Ovis aries: one gene and its partners. The protein of the gene in region 1 interacts with the protein of each later gene in a pairwise test. Links are inferred from orthologs where the notes say so. Each region holds a gene or a part of one and is shown in the gene's direction. Other genes may lie near its edges.

Region 1 (4,303 bases):
AAGAAGGCTGAGTGTGCAAGAATTGATGCTTTTGAACTATGGTGCTGGAGAAGACTCTTGAGAGTCCCTTGGACAGCAAGGAGATCAAACCAGTCCGTCCCAAAGGAAACCAACCCTGAATATTCATTGGCAGGACTGATGCTGAAGCTGAAGCTCCAGTACTTTGGACACCTGAATGTTAAGAGCCAACTCATTGGAAATGACCCTGATGCTCGGAAAGATTGAGGGCAGGAGGAGGAGGGGGACAGAGGAGGAGATGACTGGATGGCATCACTGACTGGACGGACATGAGTTTGAGCAAACTCTGGGAGATGGTGAAGAATAGGAAATCCTGGCAGGCTGCAGTTCATGGGGTCGCAGAGCCCTGACGTGGTTGAGCTACTTGAACACCAACGCTTGACTACATTTCCAAGACCAAAAAGACATGTATGTACTGGCCGCCTCCCTTATCTTTTTGGAATAGTTCCACAGAGGTGAAATGTTATTTCCCCAGCTATAGTCCCAAGTAAGCTGCCAGAATAAAACTGAAACTCACTTTACTTACATTGTACTTTTTTTCAGTTGACAAGCACAGCAAGACACTTTATAGGTAGGGAAGAAAAGAGAGTTGTTAGTTCAACGACAGTCCTTTTTGAGTCAATAATTTCTATAGGTCACACATAGGCGTCGAGCCAAGCTCCATCTGGAGGGAACCGCGGCATCCAATGCTGCGCAGGGCAGAACAAAACCTAAGGCTGGGGCTTCTAAATCTGTAGCCCTGCTCCTGTGGAAGGAGGTCTAAATGTGGACTAAAGCGTGAGCCGCTGTCCGCAGGTGCGCTTCCCCGGGGAGTCCGTCTAGAGAAGTCACTCCCAAAAGGACATTTCCATAAAAGCGACTGCCCTGAGGCCTCGTACACCGCCACGTTCTTACGGCTAGAAAATCCAACAGGATTAGATCCAAAACGTCCATCTCAGACACGGGGGCAAATAAAAAATACTCTAGCCTTGATCCATCCGGGGATGCTTGCTCTGTACGAGCCGTCACAACAAAGTCGTCTTTGATTTGCGCACCCGGTCGCGGAGCACTGTGGGGCTGGTAGTCCAGGCTGGGGCGCGGCTTCCGGTCACTGAAGACCTAGAACTACATTTCCCAGAAAGTACCGCGCCTCAGCGGAAGCGGACCTTGTACGTGGGCTTCAAGACTTCCGGCGGAGCCGGGGGGCGGGACCCGTGGCGGAGGCTGGAGCGAGGCGGAGGGATGCAGCGCCCCGGGCCCTTCAGCACCCTCTACGGGCGGGTCCTGGCCCCGCTGCCCGGGCGGGCCGGGGGCGCGGCCTCTGGCGGAGGCGGGAACAGCTGGAGCGTTCCGGGTTCCCACGTGCAGTTGTCGGGACGCTCGCAGTTCGGCGCTGGCAGCACCAGTACCGGCGGCAGGGAGACTAACACCGTCTGTCCGGGCCCGTCCGCGATGTCAAAGGCCGAGGAGGCCAAGAAGCTGGCTGGCCGCGCGGCCGTGGAGAACCACGTGAAGGTGAGCAATTCAGGGCTTGGGCGCCCGTGCTGGGCGGTATGGGCTCTTGCTGTGGGTTCTGAGCGCTGCCAGGTGCGCCAAGTTCCTGGCAGAGCGGGGGCTGCGTGAGAGGGGAGAGAGTACGCACTTGACCTGCCTTGAGACCTGCTCCTTCAAGGCCTTTGAAATATGGAATTGGTTGGGGCCGAGTACCCTAAAGTTCAGCTGTCTAACGACTGCTTGTCAGGCCAGATAACAGTTTGCCAAGTGGAGCGTGGTGGTGTGTCTGATGTTCGGAGTGGGGTTAGGAGGGACTTAGCGCCTGGCTTCCTTATCAACAGATAAAAGACTGGGACTGCCGAGAAGTGTTCACCTCGCTTCACTGCCCAGGGAAGTCGGTGGGGAGCTGATTTGAAAAGTGTTTTGAAATTTAACTCCAGGGAAGTGCTTAGCTGGGCGCGCACCGGCTCTTGAATGTACTTGCCGGAGGAAAGCGGAGAAGGAGCCAAAGACTTTAAACCTCCTCCTTTTGGCAGGGCTCGGGTGGACACTTGAAGTCTGGAGATCCTCTTTAAGGTCGGGATGTGGAGATGTTTAGCTGTTATTGTGAGGTCGTAATGTAATGTCAGTGAGGTCGTGACCCCACTTGTTGGCTAAGTGGCGGGTGTGGTCCTCTTGGTGGAGTCTTTTGGATTTGCTGTCAACAATCATGTTAATTGTAAGAATTTTGGGAGCTGGGAGCCAAGTGGAGTATCTCTGCCCTTAGGTGGAGTTTCCTGGGTTTCATTGGCTTTTAGTGTTTTCTGCTTTCTGGAAAGTGGTATCAGATTCTCTTTTCTCAAATAATGGTTCTTTATTCTTTACATTTGGTAATGCTTTCGTGTACGAAGTTATTTTGCTGGATAGATGTTAGATCCTCCTACAGCCTGGCCAAGTGGGAGGGCCGCGTGGTAACCTGTGGCTCAGCGTGTTCTGTAGGAGGAATGACCAAGTATCCTCCCAGACCCAAACCCAGTGACTCCTGTTCCAGTGCCCTTCCCCCAGTTACATAGCTGCCCTGTTCTGGTGTAATAGTCTGGTTAGCAATAGGAATTTCTATGGGACACAGAGATAATGTGGAATGTGTCATCTGGCTCTCCTTTTGGGATTTAGTGTCTCAGCTGCAACATTGGGACAATCGGCTGAAATTTTAAATGCCTCTAGAAAGTGAATGGTAATGGGCAAATGAAATCTATACAAATAGAAAAGACCTGTATGTTAGATTTCCTATTATCCTATTACTATTATGTCTTCCTGACCATTGTGGTTTTTTTTTTAAATTACGTATTTGGTTAAATAAAAATTTGCAAGCCCCCACCTCAGGCCAGAGCCCCCAGCCACCTGTTGCCTGAAGTTGCCAGACCATCCTGGGGAGATCTCCATTGACCTTTTGGCATTCACCCCAGTCTCAGTTAACACTATTTGCCTTTGCAGACTTCTTTCCTGAGATGTCAACACTATTTGAATGTTTTTTTAAAATAATCTTATTTATTTATTATTTATTTTTGGCTGTGCAGGGTCACTGCTCCAGCTGCTTTTCTAGTTGGTGGTGAGCCGGGGCTGCTCTCTAGTTGCAGTGTGCAGACTTCTCATTGCAGTGGGTTCTCTTGTTGCAGAGCATGGACTCTAGGGCACAGTTTTCAGTAGTTGCAGTTCCTAGGCTTTAGAGCACAGGCTCAATAGCTGGGACGGACAGGCTTAGTTGCTCTCCTGGGATCTTCCTGGACCAGAGATGGAGCCTGTGTCCCCTGCATTGGCAGGTGGATTCTTTATTAGTGAGCCGCCAGCGAAGTCCTGTATTTTGTACTTCTTACCACTGATTCATTCATTTCATTCCTGTGCGGGAACTTGTTGAGTGCCTGCTATGTGTCAGGTAGTTGGTGTGGAGGCCAGAGATGTGGCTAAAGGGAGGAGAAGATGCTGATCCTGGATATTTTGCAAACAAGATCACTGAATTCCAAGACAAGGTTATTGATCACAGTCCTGTACCTGATTGTCAAGGTTTAGCAGCCCTCTCCAGGGTTATCCTTTTTCTCCATCTAAGGCCAAATTTTCCTTTAGCACTTTGTGTCTTGAAATTGTTCCCTTGCTACCCAACTCAGATTTGACTGCTCACCCCTTGAAAGACAAGTTTGCTTTCAAAAGAAAACTTGGGAAAGAAAAAATTGCTTTGTTCTGGAGGCTGGCAACCTGGCGAGAAGGCCGACTTCTAGAACCTACTTTACTAAGGTGAAAGGGGACGTTAATTGCAGTTAATCATTTAGGAAGGGGGTCAGAGTCTTATCTTCCACTGTGTGTAGACCTTCTGATTGGCTGATGGTGAGGTAACTGTGTGGTGGTTAGCAGCTTTCTACTTGATTGGGGCCTTAGTTCCTGTGGAAGAACTCAGAGACTGTTGTCATGTATATTCCTTGAGGAGGAACCAGGCCCTTGCCTCATGGCTTTGTTTCTTGACTGCTCCTCCCTTGCTTCTGCATTCCTTATCTTACCTGAATGGTGACTGCTTGTATCTGTCCTTTGGAACTCAGGGAAGGTCAAGGAGGCTGTATGAAGCCTGTTTCCTACAAACAACAAACAGGGCACAAGCGCCTGCTCAGTTTTATACTCAGTTTGTGTAAGTTTATCAAGGTAGCTTCTGTGCCAGGTCCTATTGGTTGCACCTTTGGAATGTTCTTAGAACTGACCCTTCCTGTGGACCAGCTTTGTCTGTTTAGGTTTTCCCTGTCTCTTCTGACCAGCCAAGTGATGCATTGTCATCTGCTGAAGTGCCCTT
Region 2 (4,312 bases), on another chromosome or scaffold:
ATTATTAAAAACTTCTCCCTCCCTGTCCCCCCAAGCAAGTACTTTTCTTCAATGATAACACACACGGTCAGAAACTGGAGTTGTAATTCTGAAGACCCCCAGTTCCAATTTTGAGTCCCAAACTGGCTAATTTATTCCCAATATTGAAGTAAAGAATGCTGCTTCGGTTATTATCGCAGAATCCCACGAAATAGTTAATATATAACTATATTCATACATACTTACATAGACACCACATTTGCCAAGGTCTGGTTAGAACTAAAATTTGAGCATTGTTGCTGACGCAGTAGCATCAATGTCTTTACATAGCTTTGTTTCCTTCCTTAAAAGTTTATTGGGACTAAATGACTGGATCCTTCCAGTCTCCGTTCTGATTAGGAGTCAGCAAGTTGGATTCTACTGGCAATGTTCCTTGTCAGTTTCTCACTCGGTGTCTTGCATAGCTGATAGCAGCAAAGCCGGGGTCCAGTCTAATGGTGGAATTTGTGAGGCTTAAATAGCTAAAAACGCCCACTTGTGTTAGGAGAAAAACAGTCGCCACAGGCTACTGTAGTGTTTTTAAGCAAGTGCATTTTCCTAAGGAGCAAAGCATTCTCGGTGCTCCACCCTCCAACCCTTGTCTGTCTTCTTCCACTCTCTGAATTTGTGCTTTAGAGCTGAGAACAAATCAGGGTCCCAAAGTCTCTGCTAACCAGCCACTAAATGTACTTGTTAGCTAGAGCCTGGAGTACTCGGGTTAGAGAGGACGTTTGCCCTCCGTTTAAGATACTCGGTGTTCACCATAGGGAGCTCTGACTCTAACCGACCTAAATATGTTAGTCATTCATTGGGTTGGGTGAAGGCAGGACGGAGGAAGCCCACCGTTTAACAATCTGGACAGCTATAGGAGCAGACCCGCCACTCGCAACAGCTGACCCAGCGACGACTGCAGAGCCACCGGCAGCCTCGGAACCAGACCCGCCCTGCCATCCTGCCACCGCTCTCGGTGACCAGAGCCGCAGCGAGGCACGCGGCCGACCGCGCTGCGGCCCACCCCGCCTGACCGCAGGGCAAACCCAAGCAAGGAGGCGCTGCGCAGCCCGAGGTCTCAGAAAGGCCACGCAGTGGCGGCGGTGGCGCTGACTCAGCGAGGCCAAGCCGCCAATCTCGGGCAGCCGCAGCGGCCCCTCGCCCGGGCTGCGGGTCGCGAAGCCACCCCCGCCTCCGGCCCCACCCGGCCGCGCCCGAGGCCGCGCGGCGTCACAGAGCGCATGCGTGCCGCGGGGGATGCCGGGAGCGCGCAGTGGCGGCAGCAGCGACGACGGCAGTAACAGCGGCGGCTCCAGCGGGGACGAGAACGGGGCGGTGACCGTGTGGGAGGTGGTCTCACTCTTGGGGAAGCTACTGGGCACCGTCGCCGCGCTGAAGGTGGTTCTGTACCTGCTCCGGGTGTGCTTAGCGATGGCCTGGAAATCCGGCGGCGCCAGCCACTCGGAGCTGATCCACAACCTCCGCAGTAAGTGCCACCCCCGCCGGGTGTGGGGCAACCGAGGAAGGCCAGGCCTGGTCCGGGTCCCCTGGGGCCGCCCGGGACGTTCTGTCTACTCCCCGTGCGTGCTGGAGGGCTTCGGCGCACGGTTGCACCCGCGGTCCCGACCAGCGAGCGCTGGCGATTGCCTCCCCCGGGACCTGTCACTCATCGGCGATGTGGACTGGAATCAGAGAAGGAGCCCGGGGCCGCTGCTCGTGGGGCGGGGGCAGGCATCTCCCCGCAGGCCTGGGGGACGGGGCTGGGGGCTGGGGGCGCACAGGTAGTGGGGCTGTCACTCGAGTTCGTCGCCTCCCAGTTCAGGTCCAGCGGGCGAGGGGCGCGCCCTGGGGTGGAGCGGGAGGAGTGGGATATTGGCTAGACCTCCGAGAGACTGGAGCTGGAGCTGGGAGGACCCCGCCCTCGACCCCCGCGTCCTCCCACCTACTCTTCCCGTCTTAAATCAATCTAGCTGCAAGCTTTCTCGCCTATTCTGCCTCCCCCCACCCCCCGCCCTCCGTTTTTTCCCCTGGCGGGAGATGCCACTGTCTGATACCGGCGAGGGGAGGGAGAGGAAGATGAGAGTTGCTGTCACTGCGGATGCTGGGAGAAATTTCTGGGACGGCTGTCCAGTGGAAAGCTTCGTAGGGAGCTGAGGGAGAAAGGAGGAAGGATGCTCTCCTTGAGAGACTGTGTTTCAGGAGCCTTCAGAGGTCCTGGAGATCCAGCGAAAGATTGTGTTCTGCGGCCCGTTTTCACTTTTATCAGGGCCATCGTATGCTTTAAAAGCTGTGTATGGAAGTTTTCTTTACACCGTTCTCTTTAGTTATTGTATTCCTTCCTCTGATGATAATTTTAGGGTGGGATGAGTGCTGTGTCACTTTCTTTTTTTAAATTGAACTATAGTGTCGCCGTCTGGTCGGGAGACCGGAACCGCAGTCTATAGTACTCTCTCTCTGGTCAGAATTTATAGCATTCTTCTTTGCCACTGACTTTGCAAATAATCGCAGCCCTACCACGTGGTATTTTTAATTGTTATAGGTTGTTTAGCTTTTCGCGTCTCATGTTTCCAAATTCGATTTGTAACCTCCTTGAGGGCCAGTACCTTTTTTTTTTTAGTCTTTGAATCCCCTCATCTTAATAATCATTACTTGTTTGAAAAATAAATGCCAGTTAAGTATATATTATATGCTTAGATCTAGGCTAGGAATACTAAGATTAGTGAGAGAATAAGTAACATTGGCTGGCACATGGTTAGTGCTTAATGTTAGTCTTTTTTTTTTTTAAACACAATGTTCCAAAGTTGGAGATTGTGTCCTTCAGTTCAGTTCAGTTCAGTCGCTCAGTCGTGTCCGACTCTTTGTGACCCCATGAATCGCAGCATGCCAGGCCTCCCTGTCCATCACCAACTCCTTAGTGTTTAGTAAAGAATGTTTGAGGAGGATAGGGCACCCCACTCCAGTATTCTTGCCCTCCAGAGAATCCCATGGGCAGAGGAGCCTGATAGGCTACAGTCCACGGGGGTCGCAGAGTCTGGACATGACTGAAGCAACTTAGCTATATATATATATGTTCAAAGAATGTTTAGGTTTAAAAGCCCTGTCTAACATTGCCAGTATTCACTTTATGGAAGGATACTTGATTGGAAATGGAAATTTATGTGCAGTGTCAGTGTTAAGAGTGATTTAGGTTCTCATAGACCAGAAGCTCAATATGTTGTAAATATTTTAATAAAACTTCTTAAAATTATCTAGTGCCTACACACCTGAAACATTCTGTACTTGAATTGTGATTAAGTAATTTTCCACCAGAAGGTTATCTCAGTAAACACTTGGCTGTGGCAGAAATTTGTAATCAATCAGGCTCTTGACGCTCCTTTTTAGGCCAAATTTGTAGTAAGCCAAAGCTAGATCTTTTCCCAGTGGTTTTGTAATCATTTTAATGTATTGCATTAAATGTATTCTTAGCTGAAATTTCTAAGGATGTTTTCCTATCAGAAAATTAAGTGAGAAATATTTAACATACATAGATGTTGATACTTAGTTTTATACTAGTTCTATGATTAGTAAGAGGAAATAGCATAGGCAGATTGTTTAGCCTTTTTCATAACCTTTTGCAACTTTAGTTTCAACTTCTTGCTGAATTAATTTAAGCCAATAGATTTCATATTTATTTAATAGTTCATTAATAACACTAGTATTTGCTCACATAAAAATTTCAGTTGGCACACACTGAAAATTTCTCACTCTTTCCTGGTAATTGCACCACTGTGTATTCTTCCTCACTTAAAGGCTTCTAACTGAATCTGTAGAAAAAGATTAAAATGTGGTAATGCTGATACTGAAGTGAATATGGATCTGCAAAGTGGAAGAGGAAGCAAATTACAGTTTTCTTTTTTTAATCAAATAAGGTTCATGATTGGTTTCATTTTAATATTTTATATTAATTTTATTGAAAATGCCTACTGAGGTGTTTCTTCTATAAGATGACGTGATAGAAGTATGATTTCACAGTTGATATTTATAGATTATTTTAGATTGTAACGATACAGTCATAATATCTCATAGCTGATGTTTGTATTGATAACTGCTCTTAAGTTACTGCCAACTGTGGTCTAAAACTTGAGCATGCCTCAAAATCTGCTGGATCACCAGGAGAGCTCGTTAAAACAAATTAAGATCGATTGTTGGGGCTCAAGAATTCACACTTCCAACAAGTTCCTAAGTAATATACTGCTGCTGGTCTGGGGACCACACTTTGAGAATCACTGACATAGAGAACTGAAAATTACAAGACTAAACCCTG
Region 3 (4,456 bases), on another chromosome or scaffold:
GGCAGATTCCTGGGAGAGAACCTCAGCGAGCAAGTGGGCGGAGACCACTGCAAGTTGTCAGGCGATTAGCCTGGACTTTGTCTCCAGCCTGCAACTGCCTGCTACTCTACTAGTTTGTAAACCCCTCTATATCTTGCTACTGGTTCATGAACCAGCTTCATCATGGGAGCTTGTTAGAAATGCAGAGTCTCAGACCCTACCTCAGACCTGTAGAATCAGAAGTTGTATTTCAACAAGATTTCCGGGTGCTCTGAGCACATTCAGGATCGAGAAGTAGATTTCTGCTACACTGAGCCCCCTGAGGATAGGGAGAGCCTTGTCCATCCTGAGTCCTCTGCTGCTATCACAGGGCTCAGTACACAGCAGGTTAAATCTAGATGAATGTCAGATCTAGGTTCAGACCCAAGGGAAACCAGAGGATATTTTCTCAGTATATGAAAGGGGAGTGGGAGTTGGGGTGGGGATCAGGTTACAAGAGGAATCTTCTTCCTAGAGAATCCTGTCCTGTTTCAACAAAAGAGACCATCTAGGCCATCCTATCATCTTTGGATGTGCGCCCCTTTCCAATTTACCCCTGCCTGGGCAAGAGACATCAAAGTTCCAAGGTTTGGAAATTTGTGAATTTCCATCACTCACTGCCTTCACAGTCCCAAGCCTGGGATGTGAAGACCAGGATAGTTATTATTGTTATTTCTGCTTATGGACACTACTCAGGGCTATGCATCAATCGCTATAGTAAGCACTTCACCTCTCATTTAATCTTCAAACAACTCCATGAAGTAGATAATAATCTCCATTTTACTGATGAGGTGATTGGAGGATAGAAATATTAGCCCGTTAACAAGGTCACATAACTAGTTTAGTAGAGCTGGGATTTGAATGAGGCAGTCTGGCCTCAGAGTTCATGCATTTAACTTTAGGTACTCTTACACCTATTTTACAGTTAAGGAAAGTGAGGTTCCTAGAGGCTAAGTAACTTGTCCAGGTGACACAGCTAATGGGCTATTAAGATTCCGACCCTAGTCTAGTTGAAGAGCTTGAGCTCTTAACTACTGTGATTACGGTAATAAGATACAGGCCAGAGCCCCCAAGGTTGTACTGATCAGAGCTGCAAAGGGGTGCAAACTGCCAGCTCCCGCCCCCTCTGAGCATCCACCTCCAGGCTGGACCCCAGTCGGCCACCCGGTGCACGGGAGGTATGACGCCTCCTACCTCTGGCATTGGGAGAGGCAGGTCCTGGGGGCCTCGGGCCGAGCCCGGCTTTGCTCCCCTTTGACGTAGGTGCCTGCGTCTTGACCCTCACTGCAGGCCAGGTGGGGAACCCTCACCCGGGTCCTGGGACCCCTTCTCCCCCAGGCCTAACCCGCCCCCGGCCTCTCAGCTCCACGCCCCCACATCGTCCTAGTGCTCAGCGGTTGCTAGGATACTGCGGGCCGTTACGCCGGCGCGGACTGATGACGTACTACTGCTTCCGGCCCCTGGCGCTTCCCTCCCGCTGAAGCCGGGTGAGTGTGGTGTCCTGGCTGGCCCACCCAGACCGAGACCCGGAGTGGGTTCTGCAAGCGGTGGGTCCAGGCCTCGCATTCCTCTCCGGATCTACCCCGTGCCCTGCCTCTACAGCCCAACGGGGTGTGCGAGTGAGGGGCTGCCTGAAGGTGGGCCGGGGTTGGAGGAAGTGGCCTGGGAGTCGCCGAGGGGCCTGGGCCCTTTTAAGGCACCTGACCCGAGCCTTCTTGGAGCGGGCGTTGCCAGGGCTTATTTTCTCTAGGTTTGGAGACCTGGGCCTGAGCGCTTCACGTTGGCCCTTTAGGGGGGGGTCATCTGGATTGTGCCCCGCCCATGACCTGCCATTCTTTTCCTTCCAGCATGATCTGCTGGAGCCCCAGCAACTTGCCTGAAAGAGACCACTCGACCTGGACGAACCCTTTGGCAGCTTCAGACCGTCCTTGAGAAGGATGACTGAGACACTATGGGCCACGCGCTTTGCATCTGCTCTCGGGGAACTGTCACCATTGACCATAAGCGCTACCTCTTCATCCATAAACTGGGGGAGGGGTGAGTGTTTTGGAAATCATTTAGTCCCAAGAATTGTGGTGTTTGAAGGACAGCAGTCAGCACAAGATAGGGGCACAGAGCCTCTAATTCACCGGCCGGAGCCCAGCTCCTTGGTAGTCAAGAAAGTGGATTGTGGAACCAGTCTTCCTAGAGTCACCATGTATGGCCTTGATAAGCCCTAGTTGCTTTATCTGCTTATTAGAGCTAATTTTGCTTCAATGATGGGGCTGTGAGGACTAAATGAGATAATTCGTATCAAGTGTCTCCCCTATTGCCTGATAAATAGCACTTGATAAAGGTTGGCTGTTATCTATTTAGTATTTATTGAAGCCCTGCATTAAGACCATAGGACCTAGAAAGTGACTGTGTCCTTGCTCTATGTGAATAATCTTCAGACTTCTTTTTAGAGTCACACCTTGGGAGGGTTGCTAGTAAACGGGAGACACCCCCCCCTCCCCTCGCACTTCTTCCCAGGGAATTCCTCTGGATCCCAGCAGTATGGGAGATGACCTTGGTCCTTCACTGACCCCTTTGGCCCACAGTGGGTTCAGCTTTGTGGACCTAGTGGAGGGGTTGCATGATGGACAGTTCTACGCCCTGAAGCGAATCCTGTGTCATGAGCAGCAGGACCGGGAGGAGGCCCAACGAGAAGCAGACATGCATCGCCTCTTCCATCACCCCAACATCCTTCACCTCGTGGCTTATTGTCTGAGAGAGCGAGGCACTAAACATGAGGCCTGGCTGCTGCTACCCTTCTTCAAGGTCAGAAAGTCTCCTGGCTATGGATGGGATTGCAACAGAGCGGTGTGTGCCAAGGGCTATCATGAGCACTCAAGCACATTAGGAAGCAGAAGTCATGTTCTGGTTTGAGCATTTCAGATTTGGGGTTTAAGGAACCCACCTGGGGCTGTAGGGTGTGTGGTGAAATTGCTATAAATTCTGACATAGGGAAAGAATCAGGCTCAGGGAGCAGAGGCTAAAAACATCAGCTGCGGGGAAACTTGTTTTGCAGAGAGGTACGCTGTGGAATGAGATAGAAAAGCTGAAGGACAAAGGCAACTTCTTGACTGAAGAGCAAATCATTCAGCTGCTGCTGGGTATCTGCAGAGGCCTTGAGGCTATTCACACCAAGGGTTATGCCCACAGGTCAGTGGGAGGCTCCATGTACTTGCTGGACAGAAAGGAAGAGCCTCATGAAGAGAAATGAGAGATCTCTGTGCTCTTCTCCAGGAACAGTCCCCATGATTCTTTTGCTCCCCCTAGGATCTTGGGCTTTTGGTTCAGGGATGCTCATGGGTCATTTCTACTTCCCTGCAGGGACCTGAAACCCACCAATATCTTGCTTGGCGATGAGGGGCAGCCAGTTCTGATGGACTTGGGGTCCATGAATCAAGCATGCATCCGTGTGGAGGGCTCCCGCCAGGCTCTGGCCCTCCAGGTAAGAGTTTCCAGAGTCCTTTGCCCATCTCTTCCTCATCCTCAGCCCCTTCTGGTCCATGCCCCAGTTTGGGCACATGACCAAAACCTGTGCCCTGCTTCTGAGCTCTGGGGCCACTGTTCCAGGACTGGGCAGCCCAGCGGTGCACCATCTCCTACCGGGCCCCGGAGCTCTTCTCCGTGCAAAGCCACTGTGTCATCGATGAGCGGACTGATGTTTGGGTGAGGAGCGTGTGGGTGGGAACGTGGAAGGGGAGGAGTGCTGCTCTGTAGCTGCTGTGAACTGGAGGAGCAAGTCTTTGGTTTCCAATGCATGGGGCCCCAGGAAGCATGTATGTCCCAATCCCCCCTTGACTTCCTTCCTGGGAACTATCACTGACACTGTACTCAGTTGCTCAGGAAGTGATATAATCTTGCCCTTTGAGCAGGATAAGTATAACTAAATGTCAGGGCTGGAGGCAGCGGCTCAGCACAAGACGCAGAGGCCTCCAGCTAACTGGCAGTTTCTCTGGGGCCCTGGTGGTGTCACGTGACTGAAGTCTGCATACTGCAGCCTCCTTTCACTACAGAATGAAACAGAGAGAGATGACTCCATTGGTCCTCTTCCAAGGAATAACCAAGTTATGCTCAGTCCCTAGGCTGTGTGCTATATGCCATGATGTTTGGGGAAGGCCCTTACGACATGGTGTTCCAGAAGGGTGACAGCGTGGCCCTTGCAGTGCAGAACCAACTCAGCATCCCGCAGAACCCCAGGTGAGCTTGAAAGGAGCAGGGGCACTCCAGGCTCCTCCCTTCTGTTTGCAGGGGTCAGAGCACAGGGGCGGCCACCTCCTTCACGCTCCCCTTCTTCTTCTGCAGGCATTCTTTAGCCTTGCGGCAGCTGCTGACCTCAATGATGACTGTGGACCCCCAGCAGCGCCCTCACGTTCCTCTGCTCCTGAGTCAGTTGGAGGTGCTGCAGCCC
Region 4 (3,826 bases), on another chromosome or scaffold:
CACTAAAAGAATACGGAGTCATGCGTGTTAGGAACGTCAAGGAAAGTGCCGCTCACGACTATACCTTAAGAGAACTTAAACTCTCGAAGGTTGGACAAGTAAGTATACTGTCGTACTTTAGACAGTCTGGTAACTGCACAGGGGGTGTGCTAATCCAGGGTCGTGCGGTCACTCCTGTCTGCATACCTCCAGGCATTTGTTCACTCACTGAATAACATCCAGTTGTGGACGCCCTCTGTGTGCCAGGTACCACCGAGGTACTTGTTTCGTTGTCATTGTGTTAGCCACTCAGTTGTGCCTGACTCTTTGTGACTGTAGCCCGCCAGGCTCCTCTGCCCTTGGAATTCACCAGGCAAGAATACTGGGGTGGGTTGCCATTCCCTTCTCCAGGAGATCTTCCTGACCCAGGGATCGAACCCAGGTCTCTTGCATTGCAGGTTGATTCTTTACCATCTGAGCCACTTGGGGAGCCGCAAGGTACTGGACTGGTACATGGCAAACCAGATCTGCACGGTCCCTTTCCCCACAGAGCCTAGGGAGGTGGGAGGCTAAGGAGTAAATAACCAACCAAGCTTTCCAGTTGTGCTGGGGCTATGAACGCCACAGTGTGGTGTGTTAGAGAATGAAGTGGAGTAAGCAGGGAGGACCTCTTTCGGGGGGTGCCAGGCAAGCTGAGACCTGAAGGTGGAGCAGCATCTGAGGCTCGGGAGAGGAGAGTTCCAAGCAAAAGGAGCAGCAAGTGCAAAGGCCCTGAGGCCTATTTTAGTGCTCATGTTCCATGTGTCAGCTTGTAATTGTACGTAGTTCAGTTTTGTCCCTGGGATGACTATGTTTGTTTCTTTTTTTTTTTTTAACTTTTTATGTTGTATTGAAGTATAGACTGTCAGCAATGTTGTGATACTTTCAGGTGGACAGCAAAGGGAGTCACCAATATGTGTACATCTGGGGTGACTAACTTTGCATCCAGCGTGATTTGGATTCATCATGATATCATGGTGAGACAGGCTTACTTATTCAGGGGCCTCTTGGGACACAGAGGTGAATGAAACAGCCTTTGTCCTCAAGGAATTGTAGTCATGTAGCCACGAGAAGCCATGGTACAAGTCCCTATGCCATCGAGCAGACACCCGCTGTCACACCCACCTAAGGTGCTGGGGTTCCTCAGCAGCGGGTGGAGAGAGGGTTGGGGGAGTGCAGATCCGTGATGGAGAGAGTGCACGGAGTCATAGCTGGGCAGCCGGGGCGGGAGGAGGCATGCGGAGGGCAGAGGAGGGACTGTCCTCTGGTGAGTTTCATGAGGTGGTCTGGGGACCTGAGTGAGCCAGGAGCCTCAGCGGCTGTGGTCCAGGGTCGGAACTTCTGATGTGCCGTTCTGTTGCTGGCAGGGAGAGGTAAGAGGGAGGTTAGGTCGATTGCGAGACTGTGTGGGGAAGCTGGAAGAATGTCTCTGTCAAGCAGAAATTAGAGATTTAGAGAACATCAGACAAAGATTTCAGATAGATTTTTCTTCAGCTGTAGTGGTAAACGACTCGTCTTCTCTTTATCAGGTGTTTCTCAGTAGCAGGTGGATTTTTCTTCAGGTTTTGTTTTTTTTTTTTTTTTTTTGATAAACCATCCGTCTTCTTGTTAGCAGAGATTTGGGAGTACCAGGTACAGGGAATGTTGGTGTTTGGGTTTGTGTTTTGCACTTGTGGGTGCAGGTGCTGACACAAGGCCAATCATTTCTCCAGGATTACTGGTCACGGGTTATCTGCTTTTTGTATAGCATGCTCCATTTTTTTTAAAGTGCTATCAGATGATCTCATTTAAGCCTCCTAATCGCCTGGGAAGGAGGAGTGGGACCAAGACCTCAGTGGCCATTTATATAGGAGGAGGAACAAGGATGCTCAGGGCAGCTGGGTCTCTCTCATTCCCTGTCCTTTCTGTGACCCTGGGAACCCCCTGAGTTTTAGCTCACTGGTAACCTCCAGAAAAATCCTTTTTCATGACTCAGCAAACTAAATGCACATAATTCCCGAAAAGATCTTGACTGCGGTTCAGATTCCTTGGATGTTCTGAAGGTCACAGGTGGTGGATACTGGTCTGGTTATTCTCTCTCTTTCCTTTTTTCAAAATCCCCTTTAAAAATGTTACTTAGCTTATGTAGTCTCCAGATAATGTAGGAAGAAGACACAGTGACAAATAGTGACCTAATTGGGTGAACCCAGAACACGATGCCTTTTAGTTTTTCGTAGTCTCAGTACCCTTGTTGACCTTTATTAATGTCAGTCCTCAGAAGAGCACCAGCGTGCTGAGTCTCTTCCTGTCTGCTTCACAGTGGCTCTCCGTTTAACTGGTCTTATTTAGTCCTCACAGTGATAATTGTGGTAGAGAGTCTTATGCCCATCCACACATGAGGGGTTTGAGGCTTAGAGATGTCCAAGGACCACAGTGAGCGTGAATGCTGGGGTTGGGGCCTGAATCCACCCACCTGATTGCAAAGCCTGTCTTACCTGCTCTGCACCAAAATGGAAGTTGAAATAATTATAATAAAAGTGCATGTTGCAGGAGAGGCGGGCCAGGTACAAAAAGACAGAGACGAGCAGATGTCTGGAGGGAATTCCCCTTTCTCAGGTGGTGGGAGGAGAGCCCCCGAGTCCCAGAGGGCTCTGCTGTCTCCCACGTGCAGCTGTGCTCGGCGGAGGGGGAACAGGGACCTCCTCTGCCGCTGGCTGACAGGGCAGGCACGAATGCTGGCTGTCGTTTCCTCAAGAACAAACTGCTATAAGAGACATCTTGTTTCTTTGGACGGAGGCAATGGGTTCCAGCCTCCAGGATTGCTCAGCCAGACCCAGGAGGAGGAGAGGTCTGGGGAACTTGTCGGGGGGACCTGTGAACGGAGTGTCTGGAGGCGGTGCTGGCCTGGTCCTCCTGGCTCACGGAGGATCTGGGAAAGATAGGACCCGGACGATGTCTCAACCCCTTGATTTATTTAATTCTTTTCTGGTTTTTCTTGGCTTTACTCCAGGGGAATACAGAGAGAACGGTCTGGCAATACCACTTTCGGACCTGGCCGGACCACGGCGTGCCCAGTGACCCGGGGGGCGTGCTGGACTTTCTGGAGGAGGTTCACCACAAGCAGGAGAGCATTGTGGATGCGGGGCCCGTGGTGGTTCACTGCAGGTGACTGGCCCCTCCACCTCTAGGATGTCACCTGTCCCATCATCTCTCAACGCCCAGGGTGCTTGTTTGTACTTGCCCAGCCCAAGCCACAGCTCTTTAACTGTGGGAAAAATTTAATGCCTGTTTGTGGCATTAAGGGACACTTTGACCCCAAAGTATATTTCTTCTAGATCCTGTGGGACCACCAGGTACTGGGGTGGTGGGGCAGGGGGTGGTGAACACAGTCCTTATTCTTAAGGCACCCTTAGTCTGGTAGTGTTTGATTGGTTTTCTCTGTTCATGCAGTTATTTTAGGATTCATCTCTTTGATTGTGATCCTCTTCTTGTTTTCCATGGAAATATGGTGTATTTTTTTCCCCCTGACAACATACCTGTTTGTTTCAGAATATTTGGACCGCTCCCCATTCAGGCTTCTAGAAGCCAGGCCCATGGCCTCCGCACCAGAGTTTGTAGGTGCCAGTTCCCAAGTTTAGGCTTCATGATTATACTGGGGAAAGTTGGTATATGTTGGGCAAGTAGATGCGTGTGAAACATTATTTATTCAGTTCTATAAAAGCTCCCTTTTATTGAGCCCTTGCTCCATACCAGCATCTGCATCAGTTGTTTTTCACCCATTACTGATATTTGATACTCACAATAGCCCATTTCACAGATGATGAAACAG

Evidence for each region.
Region 2: the proteins of RPIA (region 1) and PCMT1 interact in binary tests that used the Homo sapiens proteins (3 or more experiments, as listed by UniProt). The two-hybrid records come from large-scale screens. The link is inferred for Ovis aries from reciprocal best matches to the Homo sapiens genes RPIA and PCMT1.
Region 3: the proteins of RPIA (region 1) and STK16 interact in binary tests that used the Homo sapiens proteins (3 or more experiments, as listed by UniProt). The two-hybrid records come from large-scale screens. The link is inferred for Ovis aries from reciprocal best matches to the Homo sapiens genes RPIA and STK16.
Region 4: the proteins of RPIA (region 1) and PTPN11 interact in binary tests that used the Homo sapiens proteins (3 or more experiments, as listed by UniProt). The two-hybrid records come from large-scale screens. The link is inferred for Ovis aries from reciprocal best matches to the Homo sapiens genes RPIA and PTPN11.

Annotation. Positions count from the first base shown.
Region 1 is NC_056056.1:59,367,245-59,371,547, forward strand, and holds the start of RPIA (ribose-5-phosphate isomerase), read left to right. Parts: upstream 1-1,207; 5' UTR 1,208-1,239; coding exon 1,240-1,512; intron 1,513-4,303. UniProt on the Homo sapiens protein: Catalyzes the reversible conversion of ribose-5-phosphate to ribulose 5-phosphate and participates in the first step of the non-oxidative branch of the pentose phosphate pathway.
Region 2 is NC_056061.1:74,010,013-74,014,324, forward strand, and holds the start of PCMT1 (protein-L-isoaspartate(D-aspartate) O-methyltransferase), read left to right. Parts: upstream 1-1,259; 5' UTR 1,260-1,266; coding exon 1,267-1,495; intron 1,496-4,312. UniProt on the Homo sapiens protein: Initiates the repair of damaged proteins by catalyzing methyl esterification of L-isoaspartyl and D-aspartyl residues produced by spontaneous isomerization and racemization of L-aspartyl and L-asparaginyl residues in aging peptides and proteins.
Region 3 is NC_056055.1:221,192,987-221,197,442, forward strand, and holds the start of STK16 (serine/threonine-protein kinase 16), read left to right. Parts: upstream 1-1,459; 5' UTR 1,460-1,505; exon of another isoform or gene 1,506-1,655; intron 1,656-1,865; 5' UTR 1,866-1,969; coding exon 1,970-2,055; intron 2,056-2,529; exon of another isoform or gene 2,530-2,553; coding exon of another isoform or gene 2,554-2,597; coding exon 2,598-2,817; intron 2,818-3,067; coding exon 3,068-3,201; intron 3,202-3,372; coding exon 3,373-3,493; intron 3,494-3,618; coding exon 3,619-3,714; intron 3,715-4,123; coding exon 4,124-4,245; intron 4,246-4,350; coding exon 4,351-4,456. UniProt on the Homo sapiens protein: Membrane-associated protein kinase that phosphorylates on serine and threonine residues. In vitro substrates include DRG1, ENO1 and EIF4EBP1. Also autophosphorylates. May be involved in secretory vesicle trafficking or intracellular signaling.
Region 4 is NC_056070.1:61,910,744-61,914,569, reverse strand, and holds part of PTPN11 (tyrosine-protein phosphatase non-receptor type 11), read left to right. Parts: coding exon 1-99; intron 100-2,996; coding exon 2,997-3,162; intron 3,163-3,826. UniProt on the Homo sapiens protein: Acts downstream of various receptor and cytoplasmic protein tyrosine kinases to participate in the signal transduction from the cell surface to the nucleus. Positively regulates MAPK signal transduction pathway. Dephosphorylates GAB1, ARHGAP35 and EGFR.